4 linked regions of the Diceros bicornis minor genome follow. The protein of the gene in region 1 purifies or fractionates together with the protein of each later gene. This does not show direct contact. Links are inferred from orthologs where the notes say so. Each region holds a gene or a part of one and is shown in the gene's direction. Other genes may lie near its edges.

What was found.
Region 2: the proteins of BACH1 (region 1) and XPO1 purify together in Homo sapiens (affinity purification with western blotting; 3 studies listed by BioGRID, with this or other methods). This does not show direct contact. The link is inferred for Diceros bicornis minor from reciprocal best matches to the Homo sapiens genes BACH1 and XPO1.
Region 3: the proteins of BACH1 (region 1) and MAFG purify together in Homo sapiens (affinity purification with mass spectrometry; 5 studies listed by BioGRID and IntAct, counting the BioPlex papers as one, with this or other methods). This does not show direct contact. The link is inferred for Diceros bicornis minor from reciprocal best matches to the Homo sapiens genes BACH1 and MAFG.
Region 4: the proteins of BACH1 (region 1) and FAM83D purify together in Homo sapiens (co-immunoprecipitation; 3 studies listed by BioGRID and IntAct, counting the BioPlex papers as one, with this or other methods). This does not show direct contact. The link is inferred for Diceros bicornis minor from reciprocal best matches to the Homo sapiens genes BACH1 and FAM83D.

Annotation. Positions count from the first base shown.
Region 1 is NC_080766.1:30,145,256-30,153,200, forward strand, and holds the start of BACH1 (transcription regulator protein BACH1), read left to right. Parts: upstream 1-4,931; 5' UTR 4,932-5,014; intron 5,015-5,436; exon of another isoform or gene 5,437-5,689; intron 5,690-5,702; exon of another isoform or gene 5,703-5,855; intron 5,856-5,863; exon of another isoform or gene 5,864-6,269; intron 6,270-7,945. UniProt on the Homo sapiens protein: Transcriptional regulator that acts as a repressor or activator, depending on the context. Binds to NF-E2 DNA binding sites. Plays important roles in coordinating transcription activation and repression by MAFK.
Region 2 is NC_080751.1:25,718,178-25,725,098, forward strand, and holds the start of XPO1 (exportin-1), read left to right. Parts: upstream 1-3,912; 5' UTR 3,913-4,001; intron 4,002-6,921. UniProt on the Homo sapiens protein: Mediates the nuclear export of cellular proteins (cargos) bearing a leucine-rich nuclear export signal (NES) and of RNAs.
Region 3 is NC_080757.1:61,254,651-61,262,266, reverse strand, and holds the start of MAFG (transcription factor MafG), read left to right. Parts: upstream 1-4,606; 5' UTR 4,607-4,659; coding exon 4,660-4,899; intron 4,900-5,615; exon of another isoform or gene 5,616-6,209; coding exon of another isoform or gene 6,210-6,269; intron 6,270-6,726; exon of another isoform or gene 6,727-7,208; coding exon of another isoform or gene 7,209-7,334; intron 7,335-7,616. UniProt on the Homo sapiens protein: Since they lack a putative transactivation domain, the small Mafs behave as transcriptional repressors when they dimerize among themselves.
Region 4 is NC_080758.1:21,344,008-21,351,587, reverse strand, and holds the start of FAM83D (protein FAM83D), read left to right. Parts: upstream 1-4,576; 5' UTR 4,577-4,584; coding exon 4,585-5,061; intron 5,062-7,580.

The DNA of each region.
Region 1 (7,945 bases):
ATCCTTGGCCAAGGCACCCAAGGCAGTGCAAGGGATGTGCTACCTGTGTTTGCACCTCTGGTTGTCCTTTTCTTGGCTTTAGATTTTGATGAACTCCTCTTTCTGACAATCGTATTCTTTCCTTATATGTTTTAATGTATTCACTCTGGTTACCCCCAAGTCTTGACCTGGTGAATCACTCAGGGAACTGGGAAAAAGCATATGGGACCACTTACAAGGTAACCGGCCAAGGGACAGTGATGCACCCTGTGGCTAACCAAGGTGGGCAAGTATCACCACCCCTAGAATGCTGCTGCCTTGTCTGTAGCTTTCGGTGAAGGCTGCCTGACAGGAGCTGGGGCCTTTGGTAGAGGAATATAGCCACAGCCAGCCCCTGGCCTGGCAGGGAGACAGCTGTGTTCATGCTGACACCTCCCATCATCCACATACAACCAGAAGTGAGGGAGCTGGGGAACCCATGGATGTCGTGCCTAGAGGCCTGCCTCCTGCAGCACAGAACAGGGTGGAGAAGGCTGGAGAGGGAATCTGGAGGGGCCAATGGTGAAAATCCAGCACCCCCAAATGACGGTTCTATCTCTTTATGGTAATATCAGTCTCTCTCCTCTGACCCAGTTGGTCTTACTTTATAGCTTTTAAACCTCAGAGGTCAATCATCCTAGTCCATTTCCAAAGTACTTCCTACATATGGCACCCCAGTCCAGGGAACCGGCTGTCATGATAGGAGTCACAGCCTGTGTCCATTTTCTCTTCTTCTCTAAGAGTTCAGTACTTCTTCCTCTCACTGTAGTGGCTCCAGTTCAACCTCATGTTAGCTCATCATACCTGACTGCTAAGAAGCTACAGATAATTTTGTAGCTCATTTTTGTCAAGGGTATATGTTATGTGATATGTACTTTTAGCTTCTTTCCCTGGCTCCATTGTCTTTTCTTTCCACTTATTTCCTTTTTCTCCTTTGTTCCTTCTTTTAATTTATATACACGTCTCATATTGGAGCATGACAACATGTAGGTCAAGGTTTCTCAGCTTCGGCATTATTGACACTTTGGGCAAGAGAATTCTTTGTTGTGAATGGGGGATAAGGTGGCTTTATTCACAAAGTATTTTATCCTTGGGGAGTGTTATGTGCATTATAAGATGTTTAACAGCATCTCTGGCCTCTGGCCACTAGTTATCAGTAGCACCCCCCTCCCTTCCCCATATCAATACCAATATCTCCTGGGGGGCAAAATTGGCCTCTCTTGAGAAGCACTGTTCAGGTGAATGAAGTGTTATATGCCAGATGAAGTAAAACTATGAGTTAAAACACGGCCCCACTACTTGTTGTGTCAGTTTTACTAAAAAAAAAAAACACACAATTATTTTGAGAACACTTTTATCAAAACAAATATATTATGGAATAGAATTGAATACCTGCATGAATTTTAAAGATAAAAGATCAAGTGCTGCAGGTTATAATCCTTGGCGTCAACATCAACAAATACACACAACAAAGCTATCGGGCTGGATTTTTCTCTGTCCTTTGCAGCCATGTGACTGTGGCTGAAGGCTCTGGCCGTGCTGTTTGTGACTCAGCACCAAGCACAAACATCACTGCTTCCACAGGTAGGCACTTGCACCAAACATTAGTAACTTGACCGCGGCCTTGAGGGATTGGTTACATCAAGCTTTGTGCAGTCTTCCGTCATCTTTATGGCTGCAACTCGACTCTCTCCTCTCTCACCTCCACAATTGGGTGCAGAGCAGCCAGGCTACCCCCAGAATCCTGAGGGTCTCACTTTCTACCCCCCAGCACTTCTATGTGTGTACGTGTGTATAAATTTTAAGTACAATTTCCAGCATTAGCTTCTGAGAGGATAACAATTTCTCTACAACATTATACAAATATATACAGCAGAGTGAGGGGAATTTGGGGCACAACTAATCCATAATTGAGGAAAATCTGGGAGGTTCTTTTGGCTGGGGCTGCAGTCATGTACAAACTTGACTAGACCAGAACATCCAAGACGCTTTGCTCACATGACACATTTGATGCTGACTATTGGCTGGTTGTTCTGCCAGGGCTATTGCCTGGAGAGGCTACACATGTCCCATACTGGGCTTCCCACAGCACAGTGGCTTGTTTCTGAGAGGGAGTGTCCCGAGAGATATCGTTTCAAGAAAGAAAGTAGAAGATGTTAATCTTCTCAAAGACGAGGTCCAGAACTGACACAGAATCACTTCTGTGTTCTCTTGGCTATGCAGTTACAGGGCCAGTCCAGATTCAAGGGGATGGAAAATAAACTCCCCTTCTTGATGGGGAGAGTGACAAAAGTTTTTCAGCCATTTTCAGTGCACCACAGCTTGCAATTTGGAGGCACAAGAACTTTCCCCTACTTGGACCCTAGGTTGAGCCACTCTGGTTGTTGTTAAATCTGGTATCTGAGTAGCACCTCTTTTACCAATTTGGTCCCTGTCCTGTTGAGTTCTTCTGCTCCAATAGTGTCTTCTTCCTGTTCATTTTTCTGCCTTTTTTTGATCTTAGATTTTGTGGACATCTGAAGCCAGAGGGTACATTCCTTTCACCTTACCTTTCCTTTCCTATATCAGGTAAACACTACGCCGTGTTTGCCCATCTTGCTCAGGGAAGTTCTGTCTTCTAATAAAATATGTTCATTTTGCACAAAAACCTTCCAACCTGAGGGTAGGGGTTTTATGGTTTCAATCCATAATCACTTTTGAGGGAAGAAGCGTCAATTGGCATTTTTTCAAGTTGGTGAGACCTATGCTTATTTTATCTTGGTAACGCCCCACAGTTTAAAGCCTATTTTGTTGATGGAATTGGTGAATGAATATTTAAAGACAAATAGAGCTAAGGTAATGAAATTGGTGTGAATGAAGTGCTCTGGAATTAGCATCAAAAAACAATCATAACATCAAGACCTCTATACACCCTTCAGCCCATGGGATAAAGTCCAAATTCTAGGAACAGTGCATGAGGCCCCTCCCAGTCCGACTTGGTCTTATTTTATTCCCTATTTTCATTTTTCACCCCATCCCTACTGCACACCATAAGCTCTAACTCAGGACTTCTCAAGTGCGGTTTGAAGACCATCAGAATCACTATTAGAAATGCAGATCCCTGGGTCCCACTCAGACATATGAAATCAGAATCTTTGAGGGCAGGGCCCAGGAATCTGCATTTGAAAAGTGCTCCAGAGATTCTTCCACACGCTAAAGTTTGAGAGTCACTCCTAACTGCCTTGATATTCTCAACACGTTGGTATACCTTTGTAAGACTTTTCAAATGATGAAACATACCCGAGTCCATGCCGTAATTTTCAGGCTAGAAAATATCACCACCATTATCTAGGGTAAAGAAGGAAGAGTTCCTCCCAAAGAGGAGGGCCTATTCTTCCTCTAGAAGAAAAGGCAAAGGTGTGGGAGGAAGGAAGAATATAACTCCAGCGGCTTAGGGTGGAAGAAGAGTGAAGCCTCAAAAACTCTCCCATGTGTATAAGAACCCCAATCCTTTCACCGTCTATGCCCAACTGTCCTTTCCTCCTTTCTCCCTAGATATTTGTACCCCACCACGAAATCACAGCCTGGAATGCCATCTGCCTTTTACCTCTGGATTTTTGCATATGCACTTCCCTCCCTGGACTGCTGGGTCCTATTTTTCCCAGTTGAGACCCAATGCATATACTACCTGCTGCCTTGATTCTAGGTCATAGTGAATCACTTCACCCCTTGCACTCCCATACAATTTCACTTCTGTCATTTTCTCATGTATTTTGGATGTGGCTCAAATGTCCCTAAGCCCCATAGCCTGTGAGTACAAACGCAGTTATGCTAGTGATAATACCTGACTTTATTATCTTGGTAGCCTTTTCCACCCTGGGAGCTCCAGGGCTGTCTTCCTGTGTTCAAGAATGAGACCACACACCCTGATGCTGCTGGGTGTGGCTGGCAGGTCCCAGTGTGTTCACGTCTCCTTCCAGATTGATAAGCATAGGCTTTGCCACGTGCGCATCTCTCTTTGCAGACACTGTTTGACCTCCAGAGGTGCTAAATGGCTTGGGAACATAATTTTAAAACTGACACTTGGATAAACACCAGAATAAACACCAGAGGACTGAAGCCCGACCAGGGCTTGAGATCAGCCGCTGACACCACTGGGCGCTGAACCCGGCTCCAAGTTTCCTGGCAGCCACAGGGTAAAGGGAACACCTGTTAGCCGACGCTGTTGTTTCCTTTGTCAGACAGAAGTAGGGCTGCCAGATGCTTTCTACAAAATCCTGGATGCACTTGATACTTTCCCATCAGTAAGCTCAAATACCTTGCGAACTTCGGCGCCCGGCCACGGGAAGGCAAGGGAGGAGCTCTGCCTAGGGGGCTTCCAGAAGCGACCCCTGAAAGGGTCTGGGGAGGGACGTCGCCGGCGCTTGTCCTTTCTCCTGTGGTCCTCCGGGCTCGCGGCGGCTTTGCTCGATTCCTGGCGTCCTGGCAACACCTGGGGCGAGGAGGCCGTCAGCCTTTTCCTTTCTGCCCTCAGCCGGGAAGGAGGAGGCGGTCCTCGGGTGGCTTTTCCGTTCAGGCGCCGTGCGCGGAGCCCGCCGCCGCCGCCTCCCCGAGGCGCAGCCCGCCCCGGGCCGGCGCGCTCCCTCCCCGCAGCCCCGCGCGTGGGCTTCAGGCCGCGTGGCCACGGCCGCCGGGACCCCGCCCCGCCCCGGCGGGAGGAGTGAGGCCTCGTGGGCGGCGGGGCGGGGCCTCTAGTGGGGGCGGGGCCTAACCGCGCGGGGCGGGCCTCCTGGGCGGGGCCTCGAGAGATGGGCCTATGGGGCGGGGCCTCGAGCGGGAGGGCGTTTCGGCGCCTGGAGGCGGCGGCGGCCGCGGCGGCTGAGGGGAGGGAGGTGAGGGGAGGGAAAGAGAGGCGGCGGCCGGCCGCGGGCTGAGCGTGAGTCATCTGACCACTGCCCGCGCCGCCCGCCAGGCTCTCCCGCTGCCGTCAGTCGGGCCGCGCCGCGCCTCGGCTCTGGTGAGTGGCTCGACCGTCCCGCCCGCCCTTCCCCGGGAGAGTCCGCGCGGCGGCGCGCGGTCGGTGCCGCCGGCCTGTGAGGGGCGGCCGGCGGGCAGGCCCGGGGGAGGCGGCGAGGGGGGCCCGGGCGGGGGCGCTCCGTGGGGCCGGCGGGGGGCGGCGGCGGCCCCCACGCCTGGAAGCGGCCGCGCCCGCCGGAAGGGGCGCCCCGTGGCCCTGCGCGCGGCCGGCGCTGTTGTTGACGGGCCCGCGCTGTACTTTGCCCCCGGGCAGGCCGGGGGGCCGGCGGGCGGAGGGCGGGGCTGCGCCGGGGGCCGCGGGGTCCGGGCGCGCGCTCCCCACCCCGCCTCCCCTCACCGGGGTCCGAGCCCGGCCCGCCCAGCCGAGGCCCGCCCGGGCTGTGACACATCAGCACCGCCCGCGCGGCCGGCCCGGCTCCGTATTGTCCTCCCGCCCCTCCCACCAGCCTCCGCAGCCGGCGAGTGTCTGCCTCCCGTCTTCCCAGCCCGGGTGTGTGTCGCGCGTGTAATCGCGTAGAGAGGCCGAGCGTGTGGCTGGAGCAGAAATACCGCCTTGCGGGGCTGCGTTCAGCGAAGATCGGGTTAGGAAACCGGAGATCCCAGGGCTCCCTTTGTTGGAGTTTCGCCCGCACGTTGTAATGACTCCCACAATACGGTGAGAGTGGGCGTGGATTACAGAGACTCCAGCTTTGTGCTCGTCTGCTGTCACACGAGGGCCATTGCTTTCTCACTCTTGCACAGCATTTTCCTGTCATTGAGTAGAATCGTGCGGAATGCTGTTGTGCAGTGAGTCTGCTGCGTTAGACTTGGGCTGATTCAAGGTACAGTGTAGTAGTAATTGTGGAAGAACGTGTGTGGGCAAAACAAGCCATAATGTCATGCTTGGAGGAACAAAGACTGTTTTGTAGGGATGCTTATCTTTTTGGAGAATTCTATCATCGTTGGGACTGTTATCCGTGGGGAATGCCACTACTAGGTCTTTGCTTGTATATTTTAACACTCCTTGTTACATCCCTGAGGGTGTGCGTTTAAGGCGGTTCAGAAAGATAAAGGGTGGAAACACCGGACGTGTTAGTGACAGAGCACTTGAGCGCTTCACATGGTCAAGCAGAGAAATGGGAAGAGGGCTTGCTTCTTCCTGGTCTTGGGTAGTGGTGCAAGGGCTGGGCTGGGCTTGAAGGCACTTGCCACTTCTGCCTTGGGATTAAAGAAGCCTTGGGAAAGGAAGACTCTTGGTGAGTCAGCTTGGAGTAGGATGGCCTTGGTTTAATAATTACGTCGCATCGTGTATTATTGTTGTTTAAGCTGTAGCTGTGTCGACTGGTTTACCGTTGTTCATTCAATACTACGTTGGTTGGATAACAAGGTAGGATGACTCCTTAAAAAAGTTGGGTTGCTGAGTCATTCGCCCCAGCCTGAGAGGTAATTAGGAACAGCTGGTGCAGATACTCCCATCACATGCCTCCACTATAAAAGGCCAAGGAGCACTCAAGACCGGTTGCTTCAGAGGGCTGAAGGGGACTCAGCTGGGGTTGTCTGTTTTGATACAGGTAATAAGTGGGTGAAGTGCAAGAGCTTTTCTTAGGAAGTGGCCAAGTGGAGCTGAGGCGGTGTTTAAACACAGAGCAGCCTCGTGACCTACTGCCTGAGAATAAGTTTGTGCTGGAGAGAGCTAAAACTGGGGAAGAAATTTGCAGCTAGAAGTAACCTAGTAACAGTATTGTAACAAAAATACTTGCTAATCTGACAGTACTTTGTTTTCTGTTGGCCTTTTGTGGTTTTGTTGTCGTGTGGTTTACACATTTCAAAAAGTGAACCGAATTTGTTCTTTATAAAGAGTTCTTTATGAGAACACAGAAGGAGACTTCCTCTTGGTTTTCATGGCCCTTGGCTTTTCATGCTTATGCCAGTAGTTTCTGGTGGCAGAGGTGAGGGTAAAAAGAATATGGGTGGAATTAGCAGGTCTCATTGGGTCAAGTCCAGAAAGAGCTGTCTAATGAAAGGCAAACCATATATATCTGTGTCACTCGCTTATTTATGGTGCTGGTGTCTTTACATCTCGGATCATTACTTCTTGCTTTAAAGATGAGCACACGACCCAAGGATACTAGTTCCTATTGCTAAAAGAGTTTGAGGATGGGAAATGTGGAGTGGGCGAATCTGACCTTTACCTGTGGTTAAAAGAATGACTAATTCCTACTGATGATAGTTCATTTAAAACATTTTGTGGTAGAAAAAAGTGGTTAATTTTGTTGTTTTAAGTTTGGTACTAGAGGAGATTAGAAATCATGAATTTTTTAGGGATTAGGGTTTCTGAAGTAGAGTGTAAGGTGATTCATTTGGAAGAAAATATTAAAACTTTGATTTTTAAAACTTTATATAAAATAAGGAAGACATTAAGCATCAAGATACAGATTAACAGTAATATATACATATTATATAATGTGGATGCATGCCCCCTATTTCTGTTGGGGAACATAAAGAATTTGTTAATCCCTGCCAATAACATTCTTTCAACAACTGGAGTTTTTTTTTTTTTAACTTCTGATTTCCTCTTAAGAGCTATCATTTTTTCAAAATGTTCTTAATATTCATTTAATTTTTGTTTCGTATGTACTATTCTTTTTATACTGTAAAGAGTAGAGGCTTGAGTGTCAATTTCTTATTACATTGTTGATGTCAGGAATGGAAATACAAAAAATACGGAGTTCCCCATTACATATGATACCGTGTATTTTTAATTTGGAGACAAGCCAGGTGATTGGTTTATGTAATGTATATGATCCGAAGTGTAGTAATATGTAGAAGGATGCAATAGGAACACCTGAAGATAATCTACACGTTGGAGTGTAATTTGCATATAACAGATTCTTTAAAAACTACTCTATGCTGTTGAAGTCTGCGTTTTTTG
Region 2 (6,921 bases), on another chromosome or scaffold:
TCCTTATTTTTAAAAAATTTTTTACTGCATTACATGGGCATTCAATCTGATTATTTGTGTATTCTTTGAAGAGCTCACCGTCAGTGGAGATTGTCTTCAGAGCCAAAAGGTCAAATTAAAACACAAACGTTGCTTATTTGACTCTAGTGTGACCTTAATAGCAAATATCTGTGACTTTGATAGGCAATAAACAGGTACTGTTCATATATTGTAGTGAGTATGTAAATTGGCACAATGTTTTTAGGGGGCACCTTGGCAGCACCTATCACAATAACAAATATACATGGGCTTTGACATAATAATTCCACTTTTAGAATGGTAACCTAGTGATATATTCACATTTGTGCCCAAAGATAAATGTACAGGGACACTCACCGCAGCATTGTTTTTAAGAGGTAAACTGGAAATAGGCTCATTGTCCTCAGTAGGGGAATGGCTGAATCATTTATGGTACTGAGAAGATGGGGAAAGCTAGGGGCTGTTACCAAGGATGAGGTGGATTTATACATTCTGACCCATTAAGTAAAAATCAAAGTCACTGAACAATATGTATAATATGATGTCATACATGTTGAACAAAACACAAAGCAAATACATTTGTAAATGCATAGAAAATATCTCAAAGCATACACACTACACCCTTAATGATTATTATCTCTAGGCAAAAGAACTGGGGAGACATATGAAGGAGACTATTACTTTTTACTGTAGATACTTCTTTCTCTATTGTTTGAATTGTTAACCATGATCATGTATTACTTTTTAAATTAAAAATAATTTAAAAAATAGAAATAAGTGACAAGTGGTAAAAAGGAATTTATGAGTTTGTTTCTCTTATTTCTGATGAATGTTGTTTCGTGACACCATGTGAACTAGTAGAAAGAACACAAACGTGGGTTCTAATGTTGACTCAACTACTGTGTGGTGGTGTGTACCTGTGTGCATGTGTATGTGTGTGTAACAGAGGGCAGGGTAGAGCAAGAGTGAGATTTGCAAAATAATAATTGTCTTACAGGGTTGCTGTAAGAATTCAGTGAAACACTGTACAAAAAGGTCTCTGTTGCTACACAACAGGAAGGCACTTAATACAGTTTACTTACATTTCCTTATCCATATCTGACTCCAGGTTTGAAATCTGTTTGATTCCAACAAATGAAGGTAATAAAAAAAATATTAGACACATGTCAGACCTATGTTCCGAATGTGATCCTGAAAACACAGTGCTCAAACATAATTATCTGCTCCTGTCACTTCTTTTTGCTCTTGTTAATAACAAGTTTATATTGAATACTTCCATTTTGGCTAACTCTAGGCAAAAAATATTTACATCTGATTCACTATGGTCAAAGAGATATGACCTCCTGGGGACAGGAGTTAAAGCGGCAAGGAAAAGAGCCAAAGAAGGGGATAGCAAACTGAGACTATTCGAACTTGACAATCCACAAAGTGCTTTATGGGTCACACTGCTCCTTCATATCCCTTTGATCCTTACGTGGATGAGACAGGCATGGATGATAACAACCTCATTAAACGGGTGAGAAGGAAACTGAGGCCCAAAGAGGTGAAGTGACTTGCCCAAGGTCACACTCTGAGCAAAGCCATGGCTTACTCCCAGTTTTTATTCCTATTATTCTGCCATCTAAAAATCAGTGGACTGTTCCAAGAGCTAAATATGTAGAGTGGAAAAACTTTTTAAAAAACAGGATAGCCTCAGTGTTTCTGGTAATAGAATGTAAGTACTCTAAATGATCAGTATATATCATACGTATTATGGCTTGATATTATTCAGTTAGGCAATGAATAAAAATCTTAGGTCTGAAAGTCATCCAATATCATTTTGGTGAATCTAGGCATTAAGTTACTGGGTTTTTTCCTTATTGGAAGGTGAGGTAGTTACTCTCGAGCGCTGCTTTGATGTTAGCCATTACCCATTGTGAGTGAAGACTTGCTGAAGTAAATTGTGTTGATTTAAGAAACCATTTATCAACCTCTTGGTGGCACAATGGGCCTAGAAAATTTTGGAGGTCTGCTTACTGTTTCTTAAGCAAAGAACAATCAGTAAAGCTGATTTGGAGGGCACCTGGGGACAAACAAGAGAAAAAAACATGTGAAAGGCCACGTGCCTGTGACTTTCATAGAAAATACTATTTGGTGATGACGAAGTATGTGATAGGGCAGCTCTGCTGAAAAGAAAAACCGTGGGTAGGGGCAGATGAAGGGCACCAGGTGGGAGGTAGTTTACCCACCAAAAACATGCGATGTCAAAAAATTAAAAAAAAAAATGTGATGTTAAACCAATTACAGGGATTTTAGTGTCTTAGTTTTTAGGAAGGTTGGTTTTTGAAGCAGCCAAATTCCGGCTCGGGGAGACGCTGAGTTAAAATTTGAAGGACTATTTAGGTGTCTTTTCCAGGACTCAGAAGATCCCGAGGCGCCAAGAGTGCACGCCCCACACCTCACCCCAACCTCTTTCAGGGTTATTCTCACACTCAACTCCCCGGCCCGAAACCCAACTCTTTAAATTGGATTACAGAGGTCCGGAGCCTACAACTAGCCTCCGATGTGTTCTTTTGGATCCTTTTTTCCTCCCCTCCCCAAAGAAAAAAATAACAGGGTGTGCCGTCCCTTTGCGTACCGCGGCCCCCATCCGAGGGGCGGGTCCTGATCCCGGCGGGCTCAGGCCCCGCAGCTTGGCGGGAGCCGGCGAGGGCGGGCCAGCGCGAGTCGGAGGAAGCCGAGCGAACGCTGCCGCGCGCCGCGCTCAAACTCGCGCCACCACCCGTTCACGAGCTGCGCCCCACCCTCTCCGTCACCCAAGGCGCCCAGCCAATGAGCAGGCCGGAAAGGCCGGGCCTGCGGGCTAAGCACTGGGAGGGGGAGCGGCGGGAGGGGGACGGGAAGTCGAGGGCGGGCTTCGCTTGATTGACAGCTCGCTCAAGCCAATCCTCCGCGAGGCTTCTCTTAGCTCCCTTCTCCGCTCTGCTCAGCTCTTCGTCCCACCTCCTCCTCCACCACCCCCCTCCTCACTCCTTTTTGACCCGCCCCTCTTCCCCTCCCCCACTCTGCGGGCAAATCGCTGCTGGAAAGAGGCGGGGGCCGAAGCGGCGGGCTCGTGTGGAGCCTTGAGATGGGACTGACGGGCGATCTGACCAATAAAAGGTAGGCTGATGGCGCGGCTGTGGCTGGAACCGGCCAATGGGCGGGCGGGCTGGGGGCGGAGGCCCAGGTTCCAAACGCTCCGCGGCGCCATGGGCTGAAAACTCAACCGAGATGGAATCTCCCAGTCTGAACCGGTTTCAACCGGTTCCGAGTTTGAGGCACTAGGAGGAGGGGGAGAAGCGGCTGCAGCGGCCGCGGCAGGAGCAGCGGGAGCTACAGCATCAGCAAGAGCAACAGTAGCTACAGCCCCGGCGGCGGTGCCTGTTCCAGTCTTTGCTGCTGCAGTCCGTGCAACCACCCAGAGGGGGAGGGGGGAACCACCAGTCGCTGAGAAGCAGGAGAAGGGGGGAAAGTTTAGGCGAGCCTGGGTGGGGGGGCCTAGCGCCGGAGCCGCGTGAGAGAGGGAGCCGTATTTTGGTAGGGGGGAGTCGGACTGCAACTGGCAGCAGAGCGTCCCCCGACCGTGTGGACTCTACACCCCCTACTCCTGCCGCTCCTGCTGCCGCCTGTGGCTGGAGGGTCCCCCGGGGGCTGAATCTTTGGGACTTGACCCCGTTCCCCTCCCCCTTCCCTCACTCCCCGGCCAGGCGGGAGCATTTATTCCACAGATTAATTCCCCTTTTGGGGGGGGCGGGTGGGTGTGTGTGTCGGGGGGAGGTTCCCTGAAATAGTAAATATTGTTGAGCTTTTTTTGCCCTTATCCTCTTGGTTTTTTTAATTTCCTTTTTTAAGGTGGGAAAACTGTGAAACCCACCTTGATTTCCTCCCCTCTCCCCCCTCCCCACCTTTCCTCGCCCTAATCCCCCGACGAGGAAGGAAGAAGCAGTTGGTTCAATCTCTGGGTAAGTCGACTGTGTCTTCGGGGCCGAGGGTCGGGCGGCGGCGCGGCCGGGCGGGAGGAGGCCGGCGTGGGGCGCGGCGGCGGCCGCGGGAGGCGAGCCCGGGAGGCGGCGGCGGGCCCACAGCCGAGCCTGCGATTGAATGGAGCCGCTTCTGCCGCTGGGGGATGGAGGCGGGGAGGCGGCCGCGGGAGGGGAGCGCTTGCTGGGTCATTCGTGTGTGCGGGTGGCGGTGGAAGAAGGCGAGGGGCGTGAGAGTGAAGTGGGGCCCCGCGCGGGGGTGGAAGGGCTTCCCCAGCCCCTGGGCTGGGGAGAAGTTGCGGTGATTTCAGGAACATTTCTGTAAATTATTAGGAGTGGAAGTTTCCAGAAATATTTAGTGCAGCAGCATTGAAACGTCCGCCTGCATCACGTGGCCCCTCGGTGGAGCGCTTGGGATCGGGGGAGGGAGGGGCTGCCGCGTCCCTGCTCCTCCTGCAAGGAACTCGGAATCTTCCTGGTTTTTGGCAGAGTAGGATTAGAAGTAGGAAAGGTTAGTTATTTTTCAGGGATCTGCAAATGGGGTTCCGTGCTGTAGTTTGTTTTCGGGGGCTTGAGCGTGTTAAGTGATCGAATTATTTACTGCTGGCATTGTACAGCAGATGATGCCGATTCTCCTTCATTCCGATGTCTCTTGAGTTTGGGGTGGGTGAGAGGAAGTGGTATAGTAGAGGAAGCTTTCAAGATTTGCCCAGCCCGGACCTCCTGTGATCACGCAGAGGCCATGCTGCATAGAGAATGGGGCGGTGAACTTCAGGCGCCTGCTCTAAATGCCTCCTCCGAGTATGGGCGGGGTGAGTGCGTGCTCCTGTATGCTATAGTTAGAAGTGCTGCAGATCGGTTCGGGTGGGAAGCGAGGGGAGGGCGGGCCTTACTGAGGTGTGTTTCTACTGAATGGAGGAGGCAATTGGCCACACACCCAAATAGCAGCCTCTCTCCTTGTAGCGACTTGTTTTTTTGACCTACTGTGTAGTTAACATTTAAGCAACGGTTATGATTTTCTGGTTTGGGGATGGGAGCTGGCAGTGTAGCTGCCTGCCTATTCAGTCTGAAGTGGCAGTGAAGGTATTTTGGTAGTCATTTGTAGAGTCACCACATTGCTGGGTAATCCCTTGTATATGCTATCCAGTGAGTGGATTTTAGGATTGAGTGTCCCAAGGAGAAAAGAAAGCGTTTGTGGTTTCACTTCTCTCGCTATGGCTGTTTGCTATCTGCCTGATTGTATATCTTAAGCGTGTGGGACAGTGCTGTTAGTGGAAAGAATGTTTTGTTTTGGAAGCTCTTTGATTTGGGGGACTAATTGTGCTTGGCATTGACCAGAAAGCCGCCATTTCTGTCCTACGTACAGTTCAAGAATAGGTAGGTCATTTCGAAGATAGCCGCTAGTTCTAAGGATGGCAAACTTATGTATTTAATACAAGCTTCTATTCTAAACCTGATTTTTCACAAGAATTTAGCTCGAAGGACTCTGTAAGGACCATATACTTGAAAATGAAACTTTACAGAGTCACTTTATTTTTTTATTTTGGCCTTTCAATTATGATAGGGCTAAATAGAAAAGTTCGTTCAAATTTTAACCAAAAAAAAATCGAAAACTTTTGATAACGTAGCTCTTGGTGCTTTGTGTACATTGCTTTTCAGCCTCAATTTTTAAGATTGTTCTGATCTTTTAAAATTGTATGGTACTTGAATGGGGGGAAATTTACCCATTTATTTGTGGAATATATATTTCCTTTTTTATATTAGTATTTATCCTTTTTTATATTAGTATTTAGAGCAAAGATTTTTGTTGTATTTGTCACGTATTCTGTATTAAAAACATTTAAAAACTGCTGTAAAATATTTTGAAATCTTATCAGTTTTACTGTCTATGGATCAAGCCTTAAGAGGAATAAAAATCCTTGAACTGTTTCTCGATTTTTACATTATATATAATAAAAAAATTAACTGACATCCTCAAGACTTCTAATCTGTTGTAATTGACATTATCAAGTAAAACATTTGAGTTGAAATTGCTGCCATTATTGTTAAGAACATCTTTAAGCTGCTATAAAATGGCCAAGAAATAACATCTTTTTCCTATCAAGCTACTTTGTCCAGGCACCATGTAATCAAATTAGCCACCCATTTCCTGATCCTGGAAGGTTTTTAAGAGGTGGAGAAGTGGAGATAACCATCTGATCTTGTTGGGTCTCCCAACAGTAAACCAGAGGTTCTTAGCCTGAGGTTTCTTGCGTGGCTTTCAGAGTGTCCTGAATCTTCTGTAATTGTATACAAAATTGTGAGTTTTTTTAATTTGGCAGGAGCTATCATTTTCCTCGGATTGTAAGGCGTCTTGACCCAAAAAAGGTTAAAGAGTACTGATTTAGCCCGTCAGACTTCAGTGGCACTGGCTTGAAGAAAAAGCAGAGGAAAGAGTTTTATAATGCTGGGCAACAAAAATGTGAATGTGTGCCAGCACTTTGGAATAGAGTCCTCTTAAAAGGATAACATTGCATATGAACCAGTAGGTTTTAGCCAGTACATTATTTGAGGTGAAGAAGCTCATTTTTCTGTTATGATAGAATTTGTTTTTGTTTGGGAAATAGTTGGCAAGCTTTTACAGCTTTTTACCTTGCCAGTGAATACCTGGAAATTAAAAAAAAAAAATTGACATATTAGCATAAAGGTTTTTTTCTAGACTATATTCAAGGAATTTGTACACTTGTGATTTTAATCCCCAAGTTCATTGAGGGTTGAAAGAAACAAATATAGATGGTTTAATTGAGTGTAGAAACTTAAGTTCTGTAGAAGTTAAGGGTACTAGATTTGTTAGACAACTTGTTCCTGCTAATCATTGCTATATATATCATAGGAAAACTTGTATACCACGTTTAATTTTTAG
Region 3 (7,616 bases), on another chromosome or scaffold:
TCCTCAGATGGTTGAACTTCTGAGGTGACTGGCACACTCAGTCCACTGTCTCCCATTCCTAACCCAACCCACAGATGCTGTCACTTTTCTCCCTGACCTTTTACGTTAAATAAACTGGTTTCCAGCCCCAGTGCCCTGACTTCTAATGTTGTCACCACATGTGGAGGGAGGCCATCCCCTGGCCAGAGAACTGTTGTCCAGTGTAACAGCCAGGCTGCCGGGGGTGGGGGGGGGGCTGAGCATCCCAGTGAGCAGAGGGGGAAGGAGCTTCCGGGGAAGGGTGCAGCCCTTTGGCCTCAGTCACTAGAGGCAGGATGGAAGCTGGTACCATAAGCTGGGCTTGGCGTGCCCTGCTGTGGGAGGGGCACCAGCCTCTGCATCCTCCAAGCCTCCTGGCTTGGTGGGGGAAATGTCTCCTCATCTCACCCAGGCGGGGCCAGGGTCACATGAGGAAGGAGCCCCCTTGGGGGTGTATTAGAGTTCTCCAGAGAAACAGAGCCAATAAGAAATGGTTTATATATATAAAATAAGATAAATATAGAGAAAAAGAGATTTATTATAAAGAATAAAGAATTGGCTCATGCAGTTGAGGTTAGCAAGTCCATGTACAGGCTGGACCTACAGAGAGCTGATGTTCCAGTTCAGAGGCCATCAGGCAGGGAGAGGCAGTTATAGGTGATGCCGGAAGGCAGTCTGCTAGACAATTCTCTCTTACTCTGGGAGGGGCTGTCTTTGTTCTATTGGGGCCTTCAACTGACTGGATGAGGCCCACCCACATTATGGGGAGCAGTCTGCTTTATTGATTAAAATAATCTTGTGCAAAAACACTCTCACAGAAGTAGCCAGAATATTTGACCAAACATCTGGGCACCCTATGGCCCAGTCAAGTTGACATATAGAATTAACCATCACTGGAGGCCCATAAGATCAGAGGAGCTACTGAGGGTCAGAACCCTTTCTGGGGCCAGGAGTGCTCACATTGGTTCAATCAACAAACAGTTACCAAGCATGCAGACAGTAAGATGAGGCTCCTTGTTTCCAGAGGTTGGGACACACACACACACACACACACACACACACACACGCTCAAGTATGTTAGGGGAGCTGGGCTGGGTGTCTGTGGGCTGTGTGGGGGGAGCCCCAGGCGAAGCAGTGGTTCCCCCCAAGGAGCAGAGGAGGGGATCAGGAGAGCTGGGCAGAAGTTTTCGAGGAACCACATTGCAGGGTCTCATCTCCAGTTCTCCTTCCTCTGGGCCCACTTAGAACCAAGGCCTGGGGCACGTGGGGTGGGTGGAAGGGGCACTTTGGGGACAAAGGTACAGCCTCCAAATCTAAGGGGAAAAAGGAGACAGGAAAAACGGAAGAAAATGCACAAGAGATAAATGAAGGGCAAGACTGCGTTCCTCGTCCCTGTCAGGGTAGCCTGGAGAGTCCTGGTCACTCCCCCCAAAAAAAAAGAAGATGGGGGGGTGTGCTGCTCCTGCCACACGCACCAGGTCTGAGGGTCAGAGAGAGGCGACCAGGTGACTCTAAAGTGGGGGAGAGGCATGTCACAGCCTTGGAAGAAGAACAGGAGTCCAGACAGGCTTTGCAGCGGGGCTTGGTGCCGGCCCGTGAAGAAGACGCCGGATTTCAGCAGGCAGGACCCATGAGCATTCTCGCTGTGGTTCCGATTAAGCCACAGGCCAGAGCTGGGGCAGCAACAGAGTCAGATGGGGCCTGAGGGAGGGCTGTGACTCAGGCAGGCCAAAGGCTGCCGAAAGGGTTGAGGCGGCCTACGAGGCCCAGAGCGTTCTGCAGGGAGAGACACCACAGAAGCCACTGAAAGTGTGAGCACAGACCTGAGCAGAGCAGGAAGGTGTTTTACATGGATCCAGAGCAGGCCAAGAGGGAGATGGGCTCTGGGGGCCGGGGCCCCCCAATGCCAGCTGAGAAGCATTACAATGTGCCTTCTCAGAAAGCCGCAGAAAAATGTGGCTCCAGAAAAGCCACTGCAGGAGCCTCACTGGGCTAGGGTCAGCTTGGCAGTGCCTTCCTGGCCCATCACTACCAGCTCTGACACCTCCCATGGCCTGGACCCCCTAAGTGGGGTAGAGGCTGGAGTGAATCTTACTGTGCTTGGCCCAATGGGCTGGGTAAACCTGGTGGAAGAGCCAGCTCCCTCTGCTTGATCCAGCTCCTGCCTCAGTTTCCTAATTGGAAACTTGCCTTAGGCTCTTGCCTGCCTGGCTGAGGCTCTTACCCTGCCCACCTCTGCCAGTCCTTTCCTGTGCCAGGCTGACACCTATCCCATGGCCCCTGTGCAAGCTGAGCTCAAGCTCCAGAACAAATGGGTCAGCAGCTCCTGGCTGTGTCTGTTCCCAGGAGAGAGAAGGAGCGGGGAGGGAAATTCCTTGCTCCCGAGAGTAGGAGGTCCCTCAGGGAGAAGGAGCAGAGCAGCAGATGATTCATAAATTGGCCTCTCAGTTACCTCTCATGTGTAAATGGCAGCCAGACTCCATCCTGTGAGGATTGAGGAGTCAGGGGTACAGGAAAGTGAGTGAGGATTAGCCAGTGAGTGTCCACCTGTGGTAGCCCCCAGCCCCAGGGCCAAATCACTTGGTTATCAGTGTTTCCTGATGGCACCATGGTTCCAGCTTGACCTAGGTGGCCCCATGTCAACAGATGGGGCCTGCTGTACTCCCGCAGCCCAGCGATAGCTCGAAGTCCACACAGCTACTGAGCAAGACCAGGAGAACGGAGCCGGCACCTGGTGGTGAAGAAGCTAGAGGAGACAGAGCCAATAGGACTGCATCCTTGGCCTCAGTGGCAAATCTTTGCTCTTGTGTACATTACGAGTTGAGGGCTGGGCCAGCCCGTGGTGTAATGGTTAAGTTCGGTGCACTCTGCTTTGGTGGCCCAGGTTCACAGGTTCAGATCCCAGCTGTGGACCCGGGCGGGCTTGTCAGCCATGCTGAGGCGGTGACCCACATACAAAATAGAGGAAGATGGGCACAGATATCAGCTCAGGGCTAATATTCCTCAAGCAAAAAAAAAGAGGAAGATTGGCAACAGATGTTAGCTCAGGGCCAATCTTCCTCACCCAAAAAAAAAGAGTTGAGGGGCCGGCCCGGTGGCTTAGAGGTTAAGTGCGCATGCTCTGCTATTGGTGGCCCGGGTTCAGATCCCGGGCGTGCACCAATGCACCACTTGTCTGGCCATGCTGAGGCCGCATCCCACATACAGCAACTAGAAGGATGTGCACCTATGACATACAACTATCTACTGGGGCTTTGGGGAGAAAAAGGGAAAAAAAAAAAAGGAGGAGGATTGGCAATAGATGTTAGCTCAGGGCCGGTCTTCCTCAGCAAAAAGAGGAGGATTGGCATGGATGTTAGCTCAGGGCTGATCTTCCTCATAAAAAAAAAAAAAAAAGAGTTGAGGGCTTTAGAAGTCATGTCACAGGTACATGAAGGCCCTAAGTATGTGACACTCGGGCTATACCCAGTGTAGGGGGATGTGCCCTGCCCTAAAGAGCATGGGATGATACGAGAACCACAAGCAACCCTACAAAGTAGAGAGTGACAAGGAGCTGTGTGTTCAGAGAAGTTCCTGGAGTCTGGCAGGTGATGCTTGTGATGGCTTTATGCTCCCTGGCTTCAGAGGCTTCCTTGGTTGGCCTTCCTCATTCATTCAGTGGCACTGCATTCTCACAAGGACCCCACAGCGGGTGCCTCCTCTGTCAGCTCACCTGGGTTCCATTGATCTGCCTGGCAGGGTGGGTCACCCTTCCTGGCTTTACACCTGAGCAGCAGTCCAGAATTGGAAGTGGAAGTTGGAGCCCTCCGATTTCCCTTCTACCCCTTCATGGTCTTTCTCTGGGAATTTTGAACAGCAGTGAGAACTCCTTACAGAAAGGGCAGGAGCAGACATGGATACGTGAACTGAGTTCCAGACAGATGTTGATGAAAAAGGAAAGGCAAGGTACAGTTCCTACATCAACTATTAATTTAACAGATGTTTACAGGCGCACCTGCTCTGAGCCAGACACGGTCCAGACACAGTCCTTCTCACTTATGTGAGTTCTCCGGGTGTCGGGTGAAAACGGACCACACTAATCACACTACTGGGAGGATCCTGGAGGTGGCCTGAACGGACCTAAGTTTGAATCTTGGACAAGCCTGTCACCTCTCCGCGCCTGTTGCTTGTCTGTGAACCAGGCCACTGTTCCTGGCATGGCTGAGGAGAGCTCTCCAATTACGCGAGGTAATAATACATGTAGAGCCTGCCGTGCGGCATCAGAAACACCAGGTAATGCCCGGGGACCGCGGGTCCGCACCCGCCCCCTGGACGTGGCCAGTGAAAGTGTGTGCACACCAGGGTAAGGAAGGCGCCTGGGCAGGACCCGCGGCTCCCGCTGTGGAAGCGGGGTGGGGGGGTGGGGGGCAGTGTAGCAGGTTAAGGGTGGGCGTGGCCGGCGGGGGAGCGCGCGTCCGCGCCAGTCCCGCGAGACCCCGCTCGGGCAGGGCGGGGCGCGCGCGTTGTCGGGGCGACGGCGCTGGGCGCGCAGGCGCAGTACAGGAGCGCTCCGCCGCCGCCGCTGCGGCCGCTTCAGCCGCCGCTGCCGCCGCTGCCGCCGCACCTTCCCCTTTAAGCCCCGGACGGTCGCGTCGCCGCTTCATGAATGGAGCCCACGTGACCAAACATCATGTGACGTCTGTGGAGCGGCGGCGGCGGCGGCGGCGGCGGCGGCGGCGGATCCCAAGCCTGGTCCGGCCCGGCCTTCCCAGCGCGCTCGGCCCGGCCCACGCAGGCGGCGAGCACGCCCCCCCCCCCCGCCCCCTGGGCCCGGAGCCCCCGCGCGGCCTCGGAGAGCCCCCCGCCCCGCCCCGGCCTCGGCCCGCCCGGGCCTGCAGTGTGGTGGGTGAGACGGCGGCGGGCCCAGGCCGGGCCGGCGGGGTCGGGCGGGGGGCGTGCGGGGCGGGCGGGGGCTCCGGGCCCGGGGGCACGGCGGGGCCGCGGCTCCTCCTGGTGGACCGGGGCGGCGCGGGCTGGGCGCTCCTGGCTTCGGGTCTGCCCGCACCCTCCTGGCGGCCCGTGCCTCGACTTCCCCACCGGGGAAGCAGCTCTTGGCTCCTGCTCCTTGGGTGCTGGGGGTGGGCCGCAGGAGCCGGCGGAGCTCGGGGCGGGGCGTGTGCGGGACTGGCTCGGTAGAACCTACCGCGCCCTGGAGGGAGGGGCGGCCGGGGTGGCGGGAGGAAAGGGTGGGGTCGAGCGGGACGCTCGGGGCTCCGCGGAAGAGCACGGCGGCCCCGGCTGGAGCTGCTGATTCATCAGGTGTCCGTGTCATCGCCTCCCGGGCGAGGGGTCCTTGGCGGGCCGGGGGAGAGAGGTGGCACGTGGCAGGGCTGAGAAGACCCTGCTCCGTCGGTTTCGCCCCCTCACCCGCGTGCCAGAACCCAGAGGGAGACTTGCTGAGTCATCAGCATGAGGTCACTCGATGCTCATGTTGATGCCTGGGGGGATTTGAGCTAGGGGCTTCAGGGCCTGAAAGGTCGGGAAACGAGGAGTAGGAGGGAAACCGTGGGGATGTGGGGAATAAGCCCGGCCCAGGGGCTGGGGCGCCTGTTTAAGTTTGGGCTGATGAGCGAGTTGAGGGTAGGGCCGTGAGGAGGAAGTGGAGGGGCCACCTTGCAGCTTATCTCCTGGTCTGGAAGGTGAAGTGTCTGGCCTGTCTGGCCTCTCCCAGGCATGCTACTCTCTGGCAGCTGGTCCTGCACCCGCATCTGGGACAGTTCTCCAAACTGGGAAATAGTTCTCTGAGTTACAGGAGGGGAGGAGCTTAGGGGGGCCGTGCTTGCTGGGCTGGGAAGCAGGCTTTCCCTGTGACGAGTCTGGTTGGCCAAGCTGGGCAGCCCTTGGGCAGGGAGAATAGGGATACACCCTGGCCAGAGAGAGAGGCAGTGGGAGAAAGAGAAGTGCCTGTACTTGAGCCCTGAGTGACGGTGGACAGGGCAGGGGGCAAGCAGGGGCAGCTCCACCAGGAAATTGCAAATGAGAGGAAGCAGCAGGACTTAGACGCCTGGGGAGCAAAGTGGTGAGCAGGCCCAGCCCTCCTTCGCAGCCAGGCCTTAGGCTCTGGGTTGAGGCTGCAGGCAGTGGTAGCTTCAAGGGTGCCTAGCCTTCAGAGCACGGTAGGTGGGCTGGTGTGGATGGCATAGAGTGGAAGAATGCAGTTCTCAGTCACCCCAAAGTTGTCCCACCTGAAGTTGGGGCTCAGCGTTGAGGAGGTTAATGAAAAACATGGCCCTGATGGGTGTTGAGGACTCTTGGGGAGTGACAACCCAAGGGTAATGTGGCCAGAGCCACCTTTCCTGGGTGTATGGGTGGTTCCTGGCCTCCAGGGATGAGAGTGTTTTGTCTAGACCAGAACTGACCCGTCTTGCCCAGGGGTCATGGTTAGCTTAGGTTGGCCTTGGGGTGTGTCCCCAGGGATGCCCCCCCCATACACATTCACACTTAGCCCTAAATCTTCTTATTTACTTATGCTTTAGTGGAAATGAAGTTGTAGACTTTTTCAGAGTGGCTTTCAGTGGCTGAGGGCTTCTGGAGGAGGTGGGAGTGAGGCCGGGTTAGGTTGAGTACCAGAGTGCCCAAGGCCACATCTGCCTAGGAGGTTTGGCCACGGGGTTTGCAGGCCAGGAGAAGGAGCAGGGGTGGCTGGCTTGCCTCCTGCCTAGTGCCACGGGGTTTGCAGGCCAGGAGAAGGAGCAGGGGTCGCTGGCTTGCCTCCTGCCTAGTGCCCATGCCCTGGAGTTGGGTCCAGGGGAAGGGGATGGAGCTGCCCAAACCTCTTTCCCCTTCCTGGCTGGCTCTGAGCCTGAGTGGGAGGCCCAGGGTACCTTGGTGGATTGGGGCCCTTGGGACCCTCCGTTCCTTCTCCATGAGGTGGGCTCAGCCTCTGGGGAAGCAGAGCAGGGAGGAGGGCTGGTGGGTGTGGGGGCAGTTTCTCCTTGATCCGGCCTCGGATCCCCTCCATCTGGCTTCTAAAGATGCCCTGAGCCATCACTCCTAGCCCATCCCCAGAGGCTATCTCTGTCCCATCAGTGTGTGTCCCCAGGTGGGCAGCAGAGGCCAGGAAGCTGGCTTTGCTGAGACCTGCCCCTCCCCCACCACCCACCTTTGATTAGGAGGCGATTGGCTGTGCTTGTGCTGAGTTCAGGCCTTCTATGGAGGGTGAAATCTGTCGAGGAGGCACTTTTCCGCTCCCAGCCGCCACACTTGGCACTTTTCTTGTGATCTCTTCAGGAAGTCACCATTGTGCTCAGCATTCAGGGGTGGAAGAAGGATGGCAGGTGGGAAAAGCTGGTGTCAGGGCTTTTCCTTTGGGCTGACAGTGGTAGGACACAGGGCAGTGTCCCTGCACCCCGACTTGGGGTCAAGGCTGGGGGAGCCCCTGCAGCTCCGCTGCGAGGGCCTGACTCCCAGGGTGGGTGTGGGTCCGTGAGGACCTTCTGATCTCCAGCTCTGGTCTGCCCCATCTTCTGCTCTGGAAGAATCATGCGGCTGGAGCCTCAGGGCCTGCCTGAGAGCCCCGGGTGGCCTGTCTGTGGGGAGGTGCCTCTGGCCTCCTTCTT
Region 4 (7,580 bases), on another chromosome or scaffold:
GGAGGCCTCCCGCGTCCCTGTGGTCTGGGGGCGGGCTGTCCAGCATCTCAGCCTATGGCTGGAGCAGGGTGGGGATGATCCAAACACACATACCTTTGGCTTTAAAACACTGTTCAGATCAGACTGACACTGAAATTCCTCTTGAGCCGACTTAAGCTGCAAGCTGGGGAATGCAGAGGGAAGCCATACACTCCTAGGAGAGAGCTGTGCAGGTTTTCCGATCTGTTTGCTCAGGGGCCAGAGATTGAAGGCGTTTATTGCCCACTCTGAGCCCTTCTGGCCATTCCCTCCTTCCCCTTGCTTCCTGCCTCCAGGGCCAATCCTCTGCCACCCAGAGGACTGGGAATCCCAACTACAGACTCTTGGGCATTAGCTTATGTTTTCAGTCAGGGACAAACCATTCCCGGTTAGAGCTTCAAGTACCCAGAGAACTTTCCTTGTGGGCCTCCTGGGTGTTGAGGGACAAGCTGGGGCTAGGCCAGGGTCATTCATTTATTCACTCATGTGGTTTACTGAGCAGCTGTGACACACCAGGCACTATGTTAGGTTCTGGGGATAGAAGAGGAACAAGACAGAGTGAAGAGACTGCTCTTTACAGTTTTCATGCCTTGAGGACCACAGGTATCAGCAGCCCCATTCAACTCACCTGAGGTGGAGTGACTGCATTCTGGTTCAGCATCCCTTTGCTTTTCAGCTCCTAAAAGCCCTAGAGTATGAATCCCTTTAGCTGGCAAACCACTGTCATGGCCACCCCTGGATAACATCTGCCACTAAATGCAGATGTTGGATCTTGGGCTCCGGGCAGACACCATGCCAAGTCCGTCTGGAACTTTCAGGGATAGCTGCCTTCAGGCCAGCATCTTTGGGGCACTGTATAATAGCAGTTTGAGGTCCGTGTCTAGAAGAACAAGGAGTCTGGAATTTGCTGCCAAATGCATCTCAGGTTCTTAAACTCATTGTCTCTTGCTCATTTATTATGGAGTCCTTCTGCCCCATCAGTGGATAATGGGAGGAAAAGGAGCTTCTCCTTTAACATTGAAGCCTTTCCTCGTGAGTTGGTCTCTCTTCCTGACAGGTGTGGACCAAGGAGCTGGGAGAAAGCTGGCAAGGTCGACCAGATGCCCAGCTCCCGCTGGACCCCTCCCCCCGCCAGCTCTGATGGCAGTTCCTGGCAGGTTAAAGGAGGCTACCTCCAAAGCATGTGCCACATGGCTCACTGTGAGTCCTGGCCCTTGCTCCCACCCTATGCCCCACCCCAAACAATTGAAAATTGGTAGCAATCACCAGATAGTGAGTTTCTGGCCAGCAGCTCAAGGAAGCTGAATGAACCCCAAACCCAGATCTAATGACTTCAGAATGTAATTCTCCATCAAAGATGCAGCATTGATGAAAATGCTCTGCACTGTTTGATCAATTTGAAGGGCTTAGGAAAGTTAACAAGGGTGTGTCCCCTGTCCTACCCCACCCCAGTTTGCTGGCTTTGTAATAAGATGAGACCTTTTGGTTATTGGTGTCAGACACCTTTGGATCTTGAGCTCTCTCTCCCACTTGCTTTCCCAGAGCAGGATACTGGGGCACTTTCCAGAGGGTGCTCCTTACAAGATGCCCAGAAGGACTATATTTAACTCTTGCTATTGTAGCCTGGGGACAGCCACCCCTCCCCCTGGGCATATAAGAGCAATGGGTCATGTGGTCAGTGGATGACTCCACAGAAGTGACCTCCTTTGCCAGAAGCTGTAGCCCTCTCCTTAACAGGAGTCTCTTGTTGGCCAGTTGGCCAGAGGGCCTGCTTCCCACGGGCACTGCAAGTGCCACAGTGCGGGGCCTGGCTCTGCACACCCAGGAAAAGTCTGCAGACCCCCAGCCCTCCGCAATAATTCACCAGACCAGAAGCCACTGATGTACAGAGAACACTTAAGAAAAATGTATTTTATGTGAAAAAAAAGTTACAACTCTGTATACTGTATCAGCAGCTTTGTGTAAAAATGGCAATCAAGAGAGTCTAATATATTTAAAACTTTTTTAAAAAAAAATCCTCGCGGATCTTTGATATTGTATTGAAGTAACTTCCAGGTAGCTCCTTGCCATGCGGCAGTGGTGGGCCTTGTGTCCGAGACCATGGCTCGACCACATCCCAGAGGGGCATGCCCCTGGAGTTGCTTCCAGCTGCCAAGGCCTGTGACAGAATTCGCTGTTAAGAATTTTTAATTAAGATTATTAAATTTCTTTTAATAACACCTGCTAGCATGGCTGTGGTCATTGCTGTGAGCTCACTTGAACTATGCTAATTTGAATTCACAAAGAGGTGATACCTGGGATAAAGGGTGGGGGAGGGCTCCCCGTCGGTCCCTGCTCCCACCATAGAAGGCTTTCCAGGAGGGCCCTGAAGCAGAGGGAGTTCTGAGGGCTCAGACATGGAGCAGATGTCTGTCTAGACTGGGAGATGGTGAAACCTGATGAATTCAAGAAAAGATAGGTGGTTGGGAATGACCTTCACTCTGTCAAATGTTCTGTTTGGAATTAACGTGGAGGTCTATAACAGCTCATATGTGTGTATATATATATATATATATTTTCACACTTTCAAAGGTTTGTCTGATGACATATTTATATATAACAGGGCTGCCCCTCTCTTCTGTTCTGTTCTTGGAGTGCACCGACTTGTCCTATCCTCTTCCCCCCACCCCACACCAGTCCTTCTCCTCATATAGCTTACAGTGGGGAAGTAAAATACTACATACTACTTCGCATTATTATGACGATACAGCAGGCAAGACCCTGGTTATTCTCACTTTTTATCTCAGGCAGTAGAGGCATTGACAAGCTATGTGGTTGCACAGCCCCAGACCGTGACAGTCTTTGTCTTTGTCATGTGAAGAAGTCTGTTGGTGTCTCGGGAGAGGATGAAAAGGGTGCTCTCTTAGACCCTTGTGGATGCTGGATGCCAGAGCAGGGACACATCAAAGGGCCCACACTTGGGCTTGAAAAACTTCACAAACAGGCTGGGGATGGAGAGAGGATGAGAAGAACAGAGCTATCTTTGAAGAGTGGCCATTCATCCATTTAAAAAGTGTAGTGGTTTCTAAATAATAAGGGTAACCTCTCATATTATGAAGCACTTTAAAGTTGCACATATGCTTTCTCATTTACATGAAGAAAATGAAGTCTGAAAAGAGACTATTCGATTTAGCACTGCGGAACTCATGATGACCTTGACGAGAAGTTTTGGCAGAGCAGAGGAGGATTAAGCTTGATTGGACAGGGTTCAAGAGAGAATGGGAGGAAAACTGGAGACAGCAAGTACAGACAACTCGTTTGAGGTTTTATGCTATCAAAGTGAGCAGAAAGAAAAATGAGGAGGAAGCTCTGGAGGAATGTAGGGTCAAGACAGGGTTGTTTTAAGATGAAAAATAACTCAGCATGTTTGTACGCTAATAGGAATGAACCATTAGAGAAGGGAAATTGAAGATCCAGGAGAGAGAAGAGAATTGCTGGAGAGATACGGGTTAGTAGTAGAGGAGCTGGCAGCTAGGGCCCAAATGGAAGGGACAGTTCACCTGCAGTAAGAGAAGGCCCTGTAAGTGGGCAGAGATACAGACGGGTAGGTAGATGTGGTGGGAGCATGTGGACTTTCTTGTCTTGACTGCTTCTATTTTCCCAGTGACACAGGAAGCAAGGAGAGAGGAAAACGTAGCGTGACTGAGGGAAAGGTAGGCTAGCAGGCAACCTTAAGGGCCCACTTGAGATCATGAATTTAAAGCCCAACCAGTCAGCAGGGTTGCGTTTTCTTTTCCCCAGCCCTATACTGCTGCACGGGTGCAGGTGGAAAGTAGGGGGAGAGTGGGGTTTAACCAGAGTTGTGGTTTTGCCAGGCAAAAAAGGATGACGTGAGAGAAAAGAAAGCTACCTGAGGCTGTAATCAAAGGAGTGACTATTATGGTGGACCAGTATATTTGAACGAATGAATGACTGATTAAATGCAGGGGATAAAGGTGACATGGCTGGTCACACACAAGCTCTGAAAGCCCAGGATCAGCGCGGTCAGTGTGCCCAGGAGCAGGCTCCAGCCTCTCCTCGCTGGGCCCAGGTCTGACCGCCCAGGCCTTTGAAGGGCCGCGCTCTGGGGCGGGCCGGCCGGCAGGGGGCGCGCTAGGATGGCTGAGGCCCGGTTCTCGGGCTTCAGTTCGGGTTCCGCCGCCTGGGTCGCCGCCCCGGACAGCACGGCCACTCAGGCCTGGCACCCTCTCTAGCTGACCGTGAAGACCTCGGCACCCCGCAGGGCCGGAGGAGGCACGGCTACATCGGAGGCAGTGGAGAGGCCCAGTTTAAATGCTGCGAAGCATCTCCGGAGCGAGTGCGTGGACTCGGCCGCTGCCCGCAGCCAATGCGTGGGCGCGGGGCGGGGCCGGGCCGCGGCGCAGCCAGTAGCAGGTCAGGGGGCGGGGCCGTGGCGGCGTGTGCACTCCGCCGTTAGGGGCGGCAGCCAATGGGAGGCCCGGGGCGCGGGCCGGCTAGATTCAAAGGTGCTATAAAGCCGGCTGCACGCCCGCGCTCGCCCGAGCCTGGTCCTGTCGGAGCGGCGTCATGGCGTTGCGGTGCGAGGTCCTGGACGAGCTGCCGGCCGCCTGCCTGTCGCCGTGCGGGCCGCCCAACCCGGCCGAGCTGTACAGCGAGGAACGGCGCCTGGCGCTCGAGGAGCTGGTGGCGGGCGGCCCCGACGCCTTCTCGGCCTTCCTGCGACGCGAGCGCCTGGGCCGCTTCTTGAACCCCGACGAGGTGCGCGCCATCCTGCGCGCGGCCGAGCCGCCCGACCAGGAGGGCGCGGCGGCGGGGGCCGAGGACTCTTTCGGCTCGTCGCACGACTGCTCGTCGGGCACCTACTTCCCCGAGCAGTCGGACCTGGAGCCGCCGCTGCTGGAGCTCGGCTGGCCCGCCTTCTACCAGGGCGCTTACCGCGGCGCCACGCGCGTCGAGGCGCACTTCCAGCCCCGGGGCGCGGGGGCCGGCGGCCCCTATGGCTGCAAGGACGCGCTGCGCCAGCAGCTCCGCTCCGCGCGAGAGGTGAGCGGCCCCGCTGGGTCCCTTGGTTCGCCTTGGTCCCCGGTCGGACGGGGGACGTTCTTCAAGAATGGGAAACTGAGGCCTGCTGGGAACGCGGGCCAGGTGGTCCCGGGGTCCCCGACTTGCGCTACTCCGATTGTATCTCCTCGGGTCCCTAATCCCTCTGGCCGCTCCTTGTGTCAGGGGAGATCGGGAGAAGTCTCAGCCTCCAAGGATGCGAATTGTGTCCAAGGTCCAACTCCTAACATTCACATCCTCTGGGAGAGGGGACCAGAAATACTTCCAGTTCCAAATTTCAGTTAAAACTAAACCGGATTGCAAAATTATCTGGCTATCAGCCAACACTGCATCCCACTTTCAGGGGCCTCTTAGGAGATGCATCATCTAGGAAAAAGTTCTTGAAAGGTTGTCCTCAGAGACAGCTGTGGGCATTAGAAATCTATTTTTGCTAGTCGTCTCATCTTATGTTGGAGAAAGCAAACACATATAAGAGCGGCAAGGTGAAAGCCCTGTCCCTTTCCCTCCCGCCACAGACTGGAGGAGAAGTTGCTCCTTCTGCAGATGGGTGGAGCAGGGGGTTTGCTTTTCCATAGGCTAGGGACTGCTCTGGTTAGCAACAGCTTTCTAAAATGCAGACACTCCTGTATTTGGTCGTCTCTCTATTCCCAGAGGGTTTTGGTGCAGTTGTCTGTCTCAGTGTGACATGGTATTGGGGTGCAGAGGGAGGTTTCATCTCCCTGCCAGCCAGGATGACACTGCAGTAGAGTGCTGGGTACCCCGGGGGTCAGGGAAGAAGAATGCAGCTCGCAAGGTGAGTGGGGCAGCTAGGGTGTGGTGGTAGACACCTTACTCCAGAGCCATGGTCAGCTGCCACCTTGCTATCTGGCAGTGTCCAGCTTCCTGGCTGTCTGTCTGTGCCAGGGACATGGCATGTAAAGCCCAGGCCATGGTAAACTGGTAGACTAGTACATGAGTGTGTCTGGCTGTGGGTTACAATATCCACATCAAGTCCGGGAACAAGCCTTGATTCACCAGTGTTCCTGATGCTGGTTATTCTCTGCCTGACGGTGGGATGGCAGTGGGTAGGAGATACAGTGGGCTAGTGCCTTGGGGGAGTAGATGTGGGCTTTTCCCAGCTAGGCTGGTATCAGCCCTACAGTGCTTTGGGTATGCTGAGGGTCCTTTTCGGGCAGCAGACACTTGTGGGTTCAGTGAGAAGGTTAAAAAGGTGGAAAAAAGCACGATTGTGGGGTAGGTCTGCATTCCCAAAACTCATCTCCAGGAGGAGAACTTGGGCACTTGGAACTTGAGAAAGTAGTGACCAGGTCTCCATGAAAGAGAGGGAGGCATTGCCCTGCCCTCTTGCTCAGCTCCGGTTTTTAGCGGTAGCGAAGGGGCAGTGCAGCTAAGGCCAGGGGGAAAACTGTCCGTAACCTCCTGTGCTGGCCTTAGAAAGGGCTCCAGGCTGGCACTCAGACTTCCTTTGCCCTGTGGGCATTCTGTAATACTGACGTTCCTCGGTAGACCCTCCTGCCCTGTTCTGTGCTCTAGTCCACCTACCCACTCATAGCTTTGAGATTCTGTATTTGCAACTTGGGCGATTTTAAGGAGAAAAGTGGTACATTATCTTTAAATCTGGTGAGGATTTTCAGCATTTCTGCCATATGCCAAATTGCGTGCATTTTTGGTATCTACTGTGTATCAGACGCTGTGCCAGGGGCTGGGGCCACAGGTGAAGGGCATGATTCTTGCCTGCACTTCAGAGTTGACAGTCTGCTGGTGGGAGCGGTGAGGAGGTTGCAACAGGCAGTGGCGAGGGGCTGAAGAAAGAAAGCTGCAGGAGTGGGGGTGACCTGAGAGCTGAGTACAGGGGGTGGGATGGGTGGGCCTAGCCAAGGCAGAGGATAGGGACCTGCCCAAAAGTGTGAAAGGACTTGGTGTGTTTGGAGGCAGCCAGGTTCCTCACAGCTGGATCAGAGAGTGTGTGAGGGTTAGTGGCAGGAGAGGAGGCTGACGGTGGAGAGCGGGGCCAGACTGTCGAGGGCTTTGTACACTGCTTGAAGGAGCTGTGGGGAGCCGTTGAGGGTTTAGAGAGAGGAGAGGAGCGTGATCAGGTTGGGGTTCCTGAGCAATAATTCTGCTGGGAGCATGGAGGAGGATGGGCTAGAGAGAGGGGAGACTGATGTCTGGGCTGGTTGTAGGGAGGAGGCCATGGGGATCTACACACGAGAAAAGAGTCTGTGCGAAGGCAGTGCGGGGGGATTGGGCGGGGAGAGAGTTTTAGGTAGATCATTAGATGTCCTGGAAGGGTGGTTGGGGTGCGGAGGGGATAGGCAGGAGAATAGGCAAAGCCAAGGAGAAGGAGGGATAGGAAGAGTTGAGGAGGACTGAGATTTTTTAGTTTGAGTGGGCAGCAGTGCTACCCAATTCCAATACAGGAGGGAGAATAGGCTGAGGGTAGGGATGGGGAGATGAGTTGGACTTGAGACAGGCTAAATTTGAGGTCTCAGAAACCAGCT